3 linked regions of the Sus scrofa genome follow. The main gene of each other region encodes a partner of the protein of the gene in region 3 in a complex. Links are inferred from orthologs where the notes say so. Each region holds a gene or a part of one and is shown on either strand. Other genes may lie near its edges.

What was found.
Region 1: GTF2F2 (region 3) and POLR2C share a complex: the UniProt entries of both Homo sapiens proteins name them as parts of the TBP-based Pol II pre-initiation complex. The link is inferred for Sus scrofa from reciprocal best matches to the Homo sapiens genes GTF2F2 and POLR2C.
Region 2: GTF2F2 (region 3) and GTF2A1 share a complex: the UniProt entries of both Homo sapiens proteins name them as parts of the TBP-based Pol II pre-initiation complex. The link is inferred for Sus scrofa from reciprocal best matches to the Homo sapiens genes GTF2F2 and GTF2A1.

Annotation. Positions count from the first base shown.
Region 1 is NC_010448.4:19,392,241-19,395,987, reverse strand, and holds the start of POLR2C (DNA-directed RNA polymerase II subunit RPB3), read right to left. Parts: upstream 2,420-3,747; 5' UTR 2,321-2,419; coding exon 2,235-2,320; intron 2,052-2,234; coding exon 2,002-2,051; intron 801-2,001; coding exon 732-800; intron 582-731; coding exon 529-581; intron 1-528. UniProt on the Homo sapiens protein: Core component of RNA polymerase II (Pol II), a DNA-dependent RNA polymerase which synthesizes mRNA precursors and many functional non-coding RNAs using the four ribonucleoside triphosphates as substrates.
Region 2 is NC_010449.5:104,006,429-104,010,171, forward strand, and holds the start of GTF2A1 (transcription initiation factor IIA subunit 1), read right to left. Parts: upstream 2,891-3,743; 5' UTR 2,444-2,890; coding exon 2,414-2,443; intron 1,472-2,413; exon of another isoform or gene 1,385-1,471; intron 1-1,384. UniProt on the Homo sapiens protein: TFIIA is a component of the transcription machinery of RNA polymerase II and plays an important role in transcriptional activation. TFIIA in a complex with TBP mediates transcriptional activity.
Region 3 is NC_010453.5:22,001,902-22,005,548, reverse strand, and holds part of GTF2F2 (general transcription factor IIF subunit 2), read left to right. Parts: intron 1-643; coding exon 644-787; intron 788-3,647. UniProt on the Homo sapiens protein: TFIIF is a general transcription initiation factor that binds to RNA polymerase II and helps to recruit it to the initiation complex in collaboration with TFIIB.

The sequences.
Region 1 (3,747 bases), on a different chromosome or scaffold from region 3:
ATCACAGGAGCAGAAACAGGGCTCTAGAGGAAGGGAGCCATGTTTAATTAGCAAAACCTAGGAGTAAGGCATAAAGCTGGCAGACATCAGCACCCCAGTCCCTCGTGTGCTCCTCTGTGGGACAGTTCTCACCCCCTCTGCTCCCTGTCCACACCCACTAACCTTCTGCTGCCGCCCTTTGGCCTCCTAAGACCCTGCCCCTGGGAAGAGATGCTGTGGAAAGCAGAATGTGAACAGATCAGACGCTGAGGAGGAACAGCTCCACCTGTTGTGTATAAGTGGGCATCCAGGTGTATATCCACTCTTGTGTGGCGGGCTCTCAAAACCCCTTGATGCCCCTGGAGCCTCGTCAATCTGAGGCCCCATGAGATTTTAAGAACATAGCCTGCCCTGGGCTCTGGACAACATCTCCACACTGTCTTTCTAAAAGCTGCAAGCAAGGTGTCAGGAAAAATCCCTTTGAGAACGTGAGTTCCCTGCTTCTCTCGATTCCTGACCCCCGACCTCCCAAGCAATCACACAGCATACCCGGGAGTACTGCAGCTTGTCCACAATGTCGTCACTAGTGAGGGGGATTAATCCTGGAAGACAGAGAGAAGCAGTTTAAACAAGGTCAAGGGGCCAAGCCAAAGGAAAAGCCAGCAGTCCCCTTGGGAGTGAGGAGACTTCCTCCCCTGAAACCGGCAGAGCCCCACTGCCCTGCCCTTTAACTTCCCAAACCCAGCACTCACCAAGCCTGTGAGCAATGAACTCGTCGTGAAGGACTGAGGAATTGGCATCAATCTGAACCCAGTCAATTGCTAAAGAAATAAAGGAAGCAGAGCAGATATGCAGTTTAGCCACCAAATTCACCTGAAGGCTTAAGAACAGTGGTTCTTCAGATTTAAAAATTATCTAATGCTTACCACATTGCAGACACCAAGGCCAGGCTGCCAGAGACTGATTCTGCAGCTCTAGAGGGGGGCCCAGGAAGCTACACTTTAACAAGAACCACATGCCAACATGCTCAGGTGGATCTGATACAGGGAGTACCCTACACCACCCAGAAAAACAGCGACTTGTAGACTACTACAGAAAGGTGTTTCTCTGAGTTGACTATTTCTGTGGGAAGCACTCTAGTCTACCATTCATGCCATCACCAAATCCAAGAACACAAACTATTTGAACACCTCAAAGTTAAACAAATCTCACAAAAACAACACAGACTTATGATCCATAGTGCTTTTTCTCCCCCTCTGATTTTTAGGGCCACCTCTGCAGCATATGGAAGTTCCCAGGCTAGGGGTTGAATCAGAGCTACAGCTGCCAGCCTATGCCACAGTCACAGCTACTCAGGATCCGAGCCCTGTCTGAGACCTACACCACAGCTCACCGAAATGCCAGATCCCCGACCCACTGATGGAGGCCAGGGATCGAACCCACAACCTCATGGTTACTAGTCGGAATCGTCTCCACAGCACCACGACGGGAACCCCATATCACAATTTATGGTATAATGACCAGACTGATTGCATTCCCAGTGCCTCGCACCACTGCCTGGTACTTATAAGCTCTGTAAACTCAGTGGATGGAACAGATTCATAAAAAGATATTTACCGGTACTGAGCACTCACTAAATACAAGGCAATTAATAGAGATTACCCCACTTAATCCTTGACGTCACCCTGATAACTACTATTAGCGTCCGAATGTTAAGAGGAAATTGCAGCACAGTTTGATAACTTGCCTAAGTTTCACAAAGACAGTATTCGACCTCAAGTCTGCAAACTCCTGAACCTGTGCTCTTTACCTCGAAGAGTGGAACTGAGTGGCCCGTGGGAGCCAGGGAAGGGGCCACAGTGGCCCTGGGGCAAGAGCACGGGGTCCGATCAAGTCTCCAGCATTGCTGTTTTCGCAGCGCCCCCACCCTGGGCCCCAAACAAGGCTGGAGTCAGGAACGCCAAGGTATGGGGAGGTGGGGGAACTGGTGGCCCTGACCACGAGGAGGCGAGGGCCGCTTACCTATTATGGGCACCTCAGCGATGAAGACCCTCCGGATAGAATTCGCCACCCTAAGGAATGAAAACCAAGCGGCGCGTGGGCACCGCAGACTCGACAGCCGGCCCCGCGCCCCACGGCTCCCAAAGCAAAAGCCCCGGCTCCGGGGCCAGTTCAAGAAAGACAGACCCCCGCCCCTCCAGAGCCGAGGCCCCGGGCACTCTGAAGCCGCCAGCCCCTTCCCTCAGCACCCTTACGCCAGGTCCGTATTCTCGATAATGAACTTGACATTCTCGTCGGTGAGCTCGGTGATCCGCACGGTTGGCTGGTTGGCATACGGCATCGCGCCAGACTGCTCGCGGGGCCTTGGGGGTCGGTTCTGCTGCTCGCGCCCCTGCGCCTGCGCCTGCGCCTGCGCCTGCGCCTACGCCGCCACCGGAAGTCGTTCAGCGCGGTCCCGCCGCTTCCGCAGAGACACGCTCAGAGCGCCGCCTGCTGCTCGGAGGCCAGGCTGCTCCGACGTTTTCTACCCTCAACCTACTTCAAAAGGCACCAGGTTCAACCATTTAGAAGGCGACTTAGTAAAACATGCACACGCCCTTGACTCCACAGAAACACTTCTAGAAATTCATATGAGAAGTGCGTGCAGTTGTAAGCAAAGATACATGTACAAGGATGTTCATTGCAGCACTATAACAAAAAACGATAAATAAAACGGATTGCCCACTGACACAGACCTGGTTAAATATACATAGGAATACTATAACAGTGTTTTTGGGGTAGGTTGTTTGGGGGTTTTGGGGGGTTTTGGGGGGGTAGGGGGGGTTGGCATGTGAAAGTTCCTGGGCCAGGGATCAAACCCATGACACAGCAGCAACCTGAGCCACTGCACTGACAACAAAAGGCCTTTAACTATATATATTTTTTTCTTTCTCCTTTTTAGGGGTGCACCTATGGCACATGGAAGTTTCCGAGCTAGGGGTTGAATTGGCACTGCAGCTGCCAGCCTATGCCACAACCATAGCAACACCGGATACTTAACCCACCCACGGAGGCCAGGAATCAAACCTGAGTCCTCATGGATACTAGTCAGGTTCTTAACCCACTGAGCCACAATGGGAACTCCCAACAATAATGTCTTTTAATGAGGTTTGTACACTGATGGAGGAACAAAAAGACAGTCAGTCCTCCCTATCCAAGGGTTCTTCAAGAAGACTGAAAGAAAAAAAAAAGTCCATAGAGTTCCAAAAAAGCAAAACTTAAAAATTTGCTCACACCCAGCAAATATTTACATAACATTAAACATTGTATTAAGTACTATAAGCAATCTAGAGATGATTTGAATTATGTGGATGTGTGTGGATTATATGCAAATCTTATGCCATTTTATATAAAAGAATTGAGCATCCAGATTTTGAGAGGGGACGGGGGAGTTCTAGAACCAAAAGCCCAAAAGACTGAGGGATGACAATACTTTACATGTACTTAGCAAAATTTGCTTGAGTGATAGGTTTATACCCTTTCCCTTCCACTCCTAAGTCTGGATCATGCACTTTTGACACTGCAGGAAGATGCAGTTCTCTTCAACCTATCACCTCCAGTTCTGCGGAGGTGGGTGGGTTATGATCTCTTCATCTCTGCATCTCCAGTGCCTGGCAGTGTGTGTCACCCAGGGGCAATGTACGACAAAGAATTATGCAAGTCCCCTAAACAGTCCCCCTAGAGAGAAGTTTGAATAGGCCTCAAAAAGGTGGCAGGAGCTCACACAGA
Region 2 (3,743 bases), on a different chromosome or scaffold from region 3:
TATATTTAAACCAAGGCATTATAAAGCCCCAGTATAATTTTAAATTAGTAGTATAAATCTTATATTGATGATATAAATTATTTTTTCAGCAAACTAGATGCTGTTTTAGTGTTTCTGAAGTCAGTCACCCCTAAAAATATCTGCTTGGTGATCCACACATTTATAGGTACAATGTGCTTTCCTCTGGAACTCCCTACTTAATGAATCAATCTTACTTTAAGAGTTTGCCTAGGTGCTTTAATTAACTTGCAAAGTGACCACAGAGATTCACATGCACTACAGCTGAAGGAAGGGAAATGTGTATTCTTCAGAAGTATACGCATAAAGAGTAATTCAGGATTGCTCATTAATTTAAAAAGTGTCCAAAATACTGATGTTATTAAAAATATGTGAATACATAGGCACTATGTGAACTAAGCAAGTTCATTTAAAATGCTAAACTTTATTTTACTTGAGCCAAAGTTTTTGTCTTTTATGAAATACATAGTAATCTAGGTTTGTCCTGTTTTTCAAAAACAAGATAGTCCAAACTTTGAAACTTTAATTAAAGGGCCATCAGTGGCATAAGCTAATGATTAAAGGGTTTCTTCAAAAGTTTGAGACTCTAGTACAATATTGGAAAATAAACTGGATTAATATCTATATTGGATACCATATTACCATGCAAATAAATGAAAATACCGTCTACTTAGAATTTTAATTTTTGAATACCCAGTTTGCACTAAGCCTTCTCACATTATTCATAATATCCCATACATACACGTATTGTTGACAGGAGGTCCTATGTCAAAGCTTTAGATACTTATCTACTTTGAAAAGCTTCGTGTCTCAAATATTTATTATAGGAAAAATAATGAAGTATTACGAGCTATAGTCTAACATTCCCTGAATACTTGATAAACAAAGCACTACCAAAATCAAATCCTCTACAGCTAACAGGTAATGCCTAAAGCTTTTCAAAAACAAACAAAAAACAAAAAAAAATAATGCATGCATCTTCTCAATACAGGAACAATTAAGACATCTAAGCTAAAATTCTCTTTAAAAACAAAACACAAAATAAAAAGGGACAGCAATTCTATTTTCCCCTAACAAAGGTTAAGTCCCAGCTGCTGCATCAAAACAAAAACTTAGGGCTCCTAAAGCAGCCCCGATTGGGTATGAAATTAGAGTACGAAAGGACTTGGAAATAAATTGAGCTCTACACACGCCTGCCTCTCGCCTCGAGAGCACGCACCTCCCAGCCCCGCTCTCAGCAGCTCTCACTATTTAAAGCCGGATCTGGTGTTTAAATGGAGAGGCGGTGACGTAGGCCTGAAAAGCACCTTCCCATCCTGGCAGAGTCTATATTAGAGAGCGGCAATGGCTCTATATAAACAGGGCAGCCAAAGGGAGGAGGACCACAAGGCTCAGGGACTGAAAGGCAGGGTAAGCGGCCGCAGCCATGATGGATCGACCCGAGTCGTCAACGGTACGGAGTCGGGCGGCCGCGGGCTTGTCTGCATTTGGGACCGGGCAAAAACGTGTTTTATTGTCACAATAAAAATAAGAGAGTGGGGTGGACTAGTGATCACATTGCGTTGGTGACTGAAAAGGTTATTTATGTGACTGCTTTTTGCAAACCTACGTGATCGCAAGTAAGAAAAAAGGGACAAACGGTGAGAAGTAGGCAAATTTCGAGGCGAAAGTGGGGGCACTTTGACCACTGTAAGCTTTGTTTGTTTTGGTGTTTTTGCTAGTCGAAGATACGATGGGGGGGGTTGCTTCCCCTTCGCCATTTTACCGATTCGGAAGGAACCGAGATAAGTGCTTTTCAACCTTCGTCCTTTTTTTTTTTTTTTTTTCTTAAACGTAAAATGGCCCCAGTGAAGCCTCCTAAGCACAACCCGCCACAACACCCAAAGTAACCCCCAAGTAGCCATTAGCCTTCCACTGCGTTAAAGTGGATCGCGGTGGGTCTTGGGGATTCGCCCAGTTCCCAAGACACGGTTTTTGTTTTGAGGCTGCTCGGAGAGCCCTTCTCCAGCCAGCGCGGCAGGACCCGCTTCGGGGAGGAAGCGGAGGCTCCCCTCCCGCCCTCCCTCCTGGCGGATGGGGTCTGGGGCCAGGGCCGCGCGCTCATCCCGGCCTCAACCGCCTCAGCGGCCCGGACCGCCCCGCGGCAGTTCCAGGCCCCGCCGGCACCCCCGCCCTCCCTGCCGCCGCGGCCCCGAGCCCTCGGCACCCCCCCGCGCCCGCCGCCCCGCGCCCCGGCCCGCTCCGCCCGAGGCGGGAAGCGGCGGCGGCAGCGGCGGCAGCCGCGCGGGCAGCTGAGAGTTGAGGCCGGGAGTCGCCGCCGTCCCCGCCCCCGCCCGGTCCGGCCGTTGCTGCCGCCTGAACGAAGCCCCCGCCGGCCACCGAACCACGTCCTTACCACGGTGTTTGTATTTGCCGAGTTCGCCATTTCCACACACAACACAAACAAGAGGGGGGCAAGCCCCGAGAAAACAAGATAAAAACAAAACGAAAAAAAAAAAAAAAAACACCCAGAGGGTGACCCAAGCCACCGCAAAATTGGGGGGGGAATTTTAAACAAAATCGGATCCTGCTGGATTAGAGGGGATCGGCGAGGGGAGGAAGAGGAGGGGGCAGTCCTCCCGGAGCTAAAAACTCGAGGATCGCCCTTAAAAAAAAAAAGGGCACGACCCTTCTGGGGTTTGGGGGGCGTTGCCCGCTCCCCACCCCGCGCCAAGGAGGGAAACCACCACTGGTCGCCGCTCCCCGCGCCGCCGCTGCCGCCACCGGCTGCAGCTCCAGCCGTCCGGTCCGCCCGCTTCTCCCTTTATATAGTGAGCCAACGAGCTGCGCGAGCCGCCGCTGCCGCCGCTGCCGCCGAGAGACAGGGCGGAGGGGGAGGGAGGGGCGGAAAGGGCGGGGGCAGAGGTGGGCGGGGCTGAGCGCAAGACACCGCGAGAGCCGCGTGCGCAGGCGCGCCGGGGCGGAGGCCGCCGCGAGCCGCGTCGTCACGCTCAGGGGAGGGTGTTGTGTGGGCGGGACCCGGGGACTTAAGTAGGGAAGTCCGACCGCGGTCTCCCCAAATGTCGCGTGATCACGTGGTCGGCAACCAGGCGGAAGTCTCCGGCTGCTGTTTTGGGATGAAGAACTTGCAAAGCTCTGTTGGAGAAAAGCGTGAGTTGTGGCGACGCTCGAGTCGAAACCTAGCTGATTCCGCCTCCTGTCGGGAGATTCTGAGCTGTCCCACGCTGGAGGGGCTAGGAAATGTAGGAGCTCTGGCGGCTGCCCCGCTAGGCATGGCTGTGGAAAAGGGCGGGTCACGTGGCCCGGCTTCCGGCAAAAGTTTTAAGTGCGGAGTCATCTCCGAGCGTGAGCTAAGGTCAGACTCCTAGTTGCTGAAGCGTTAGCACGCCTTGCTGAGGGTGGGCCTTTCGCTTGCAAAATTGTGTATGAGTTCCTGAAAGGGAACTGATTTGGTTCCCCTCTTACTACATTCAACAATTATTACATATTATTACATTCCACAATTAATAATCCCTGAAGCCAGCAGAGTTGTCTGTCTCCATCAGTACAACTACAAAGTCTCTTTAAATTTCCGTTCCCCAGAGTCCCGGCCTCTCCAAGCCCACTTACTTCAAATAACTTCTCAAGGTGGTAGAAATGTTAAAACTAACCCCCCAAAAAAGGTCACCACCTGGATTATGACCGCACAACTTTTCCTGGTTTTTTTTTTTTTTAAATGTTGCAAA
Region 3 (3,647 bases):
CTCTGGATGGTAATGCTAGCAGAGAGTTTACACGTTCTTTGCCCGTCCTTGCTTCATTTTACAGAAGAAACAAGTTCAGGTAGGTCACAAATTTTAGAGAGAAACAGGCTTCTGTCACAGCCCATGTTCTTTCCTTTTTACCAATGTTTCATTCCTAGAGAACCGGTTCCACATTCCGCCTGCCCCTTAGCCCTCTTCCTGCCCTGAGAAAACTCCAGTTTTGAAAGATGTTACCTACCAAACTGTATCCATCAGATAAACTATTTTTACTGTATTGTGGGTAATCAGAAACAAAGAATTGCAGTTAGACCTTGTGATCAGCATCGTACTAACCAGTAGCCATGCTGCATTGATATAATTTCAGCAAAGAAGGCTGTTTGGGGGGAAATGGACACATTCCCTAAAGCTTTAGGAAATAATGAAAATGGTTTCCAGTAGGCATGCACACCTTCTTAGAGCCTGAAAGGTGAGAGGAGCCCTGCGAGCAGTGAGCCCCCGGTTCCAAACGCTGCTCTTGGACCTGCTGCCTCATGACTGAACGTCTCACAGTCGTGTGAACGGCTGAAAAGACAATGCTCCGTCTCAGAGGGAGCGTCTTGGATTGACGTCGTCTTCTTTTTTTCCTTTTTCTTTTTGCATGTAGATTGAATATGAAAGGAAAAAGAAAGAAGATGGAAAACGAGCCCGAGCTGATAAGCAATATGTTTTGGATATGCTGTTTTCGGCTTTTGAGAAACACCAGTATTACAACCTGAAGGACCTGGTGGACATCACGAAACAGCCTGTGGTATGTATCTGCTCACACTGACCCTTCACTCGTACGGCTTTCCTGAGAAGTGCCTTGTCAGTAAGTTCACTCACACCCACACTGATGCCAGGTTTTACTCCAGCACAGAAAAGATGTCTGAATGTAGCCTTTTTTCTCTGTCTTTCCTTTTTGTTTTTATTTTTAATTATTTATTTGGTAACTTTAGCTTCATTGTTGTGAAATCTATTTATTTATTTTTTATGAAAGCTCATTCATTCAATTCATATTTATTGTGTCCTTCTGTAAGCCAGGCATTGTGCTAGAAACTCGTTTTCATTTAAAAAAAAAAAAAATGGTACCTGTGGTTTTTTGCTTGTTTCATTTTTAAAGGTTATACTTCGTTAGAGTGTTATAAAATATTGGCTATACTCCCTGTATGGCACAGTATGTCCTTGTAGCCTACTTTCCACCTAATTGTTTGTCCTTTTTACTCCCTCCCCCTCTATTGCCCCTCCTCTCTCCCTTCTCCCCACTGGTAGCCTCTAGTTTGTTCTCTGTATCTATGAGTCTGCTTCTTTTTTGTTATCTTCACTAATTTGTTGTATTGTTCAGATTCCACATATAAGTTTTAACGTAGAGTGTTTGTCTTTATCCCTCTGCCTTATTTCACTTAGTGTAAGGCTCTACAGGTGCATCCATGTTGCTGCAGATGCAACATTTCTTTCACTTTTATGGCCAAGCAGTGTTCCACTGTGTGTATATAGACACTACATCTTTATCCATCCGTCTCTTGGTGGACACCTAGGGTTGCTTTCACATCTTGGAAATTATTTTTTTAAAAAAGGGGGCCAGTCTTTAAGGCACTAACCTGCTATGGCCCCCTTTGCCTGGCAAAGCAATAAAGCTATCTTTTTCTCCTTTACCCCCCACTCCAAAAAAATGAAATACGAAGTTTAAAAAAAGTTCCCATTGTGGTACAGTGGGTTAAGAATCTGACTTAGGGCAGCTTGCATCGCTGTGGAGATGCAGGTTCGATCTGTGGCCTGGCGCGGTCGGTTAGAGGATCTGGCAAAGGTTGCAGCTGTGACTCACATTCAGTCCCTGGGCCAGGAACTTCCATATGCCCTGGGTGCGACCATAAAAAGAAAAATTAAATGATGCTGCTATGAATATTGAGGTGCACATATCCTTTGAGTTGGTGAGTTTTGTTTTTTTCCCCCCTAGATGTATATATCCACTGTTGGAATTGCTGCATCATGTGGTGGTTCTTTTCCAGTTTTTGGAGAAACCTCTATATTGTTTTCCACAGCAACTGCACCAATTTACAGTCCCACCAACAGTGTAGGAGGGTTCCCTCACCAATATTTGTTATTTGTGGGCTTTAGGTTTTTTGGAATTTTTTGGTTTTTGGGCTTTGTTTTTTTGTTACTGTTTTTGATGATAGCTGTTCCCGACTGGTGTGAGGTGATATCTCATTGTGGTTTTGACATTCATTTCCCTAATGGTTATTAATGTTGAGCATCTTTTCATGAGCCTTTCGGCCCTGTGCACTACCTCTTTTGAAAAATGTCTCTTCATTTCTGTCTAAGAGTGACTTTTAAAAATGAGCTCCAAGTGGAAAGTCACCAGGGTACACATTCTAAATAACAAAACTGGATTAGCAGTTGATCAGTGCCTCTCATGGGCAACTCCATGTGTAGCTGTGCTCTGGCAGGGGCAGCCTCAAAGCAATGGTGGAGGCCAGGCCAGGTCACGGTTGGCTGAGCAGAAGGTGATGCTCGTCTAGGAGCAGGTGGAACAATGCCCATTATTTTAAACTTTAAAGACATTCACTACCGATAGTTTCATCTGAAAAAAGGTGGATTTGTCCTCCTTTTGATTGATCCTTGACCTTAAGCCCGAAGTCTGTTTGTATCATTTCTTGTATTTTGTTCCCCTCCATCTCTACACAATTCAGCTTTTTTGGAGGGAATGGAGGTAAAGGTTGTGCCTCATAGAATCACATTGTTTTAAAAGCCATACTGGTCTCTTCCCATTTTGTGAACTATTATCTGTGGATTTTTTTTTTTTAATTTAATCAGCATCTATATAGCACTAACATTAGCTCCTTTAAACTTGCGCTGTACTGCCTCACACTGCTCACTGAGATTGTGGTTGGGTTGGCCAAATCTACATTTTCAAGGAAAATTTTAATAAATTAAGGTTTTAGAAAGTTTTTGTTCTTGGAGTTCCCATCCGTGGCTCAGTGGTTAACGAATCCAACTAGGAACCATGAGGTTGTGGGTTCAACCCCTGGCCTTGCTCAGTGAATTAAGGATCCAGCGTTGCTGTGAGCTGTGGTGTAGGTTGCAGACATGGCTCAGATCCAGCATTGCTGTGGCTGTGGTGTAGGCCAGTGGCTGCAGCTCCGATTGGACTCCTAGCCTGGGAACATCCATATGCTGCAGGAGCAGCCCTAGAAAAGGCAAAAAAAGACCAAAAGAAAAAAAAATTTTTTTGTGGAGTTCCCGTCGTGGCGCAGTGGTTAACGAATCCGACTAGGAACCGTGAGGTTGTGGGTTCGGTCCCTGCCCTTGCTCAGTGGGTTATCGATCCGGCGTTGCCACGAGCTGTGGTGTAGGTTGCAGACGCGGCTCGGATCCTGCGTTGCTGTGCCTCTGTCATAGGCTGGTGGCTACAGCTCCGATTAGACCCCTAGCCTGGGAACCTCCATATGCCTCGGGAGCGGCCCTAGAAATGGCAAAAAGACAAAAAACAAAAAACAAAAAAAAATTTTTTTTGTTCTTATCATTTATCCAGATTCTTGTGCCTATTTGCTAATAAATTGTGTTTCTAATCCATTTAAAATGTTGGTAACAAATGAGATCTGAATCCTTTCTCCAGCCTTTGAGTCACATTT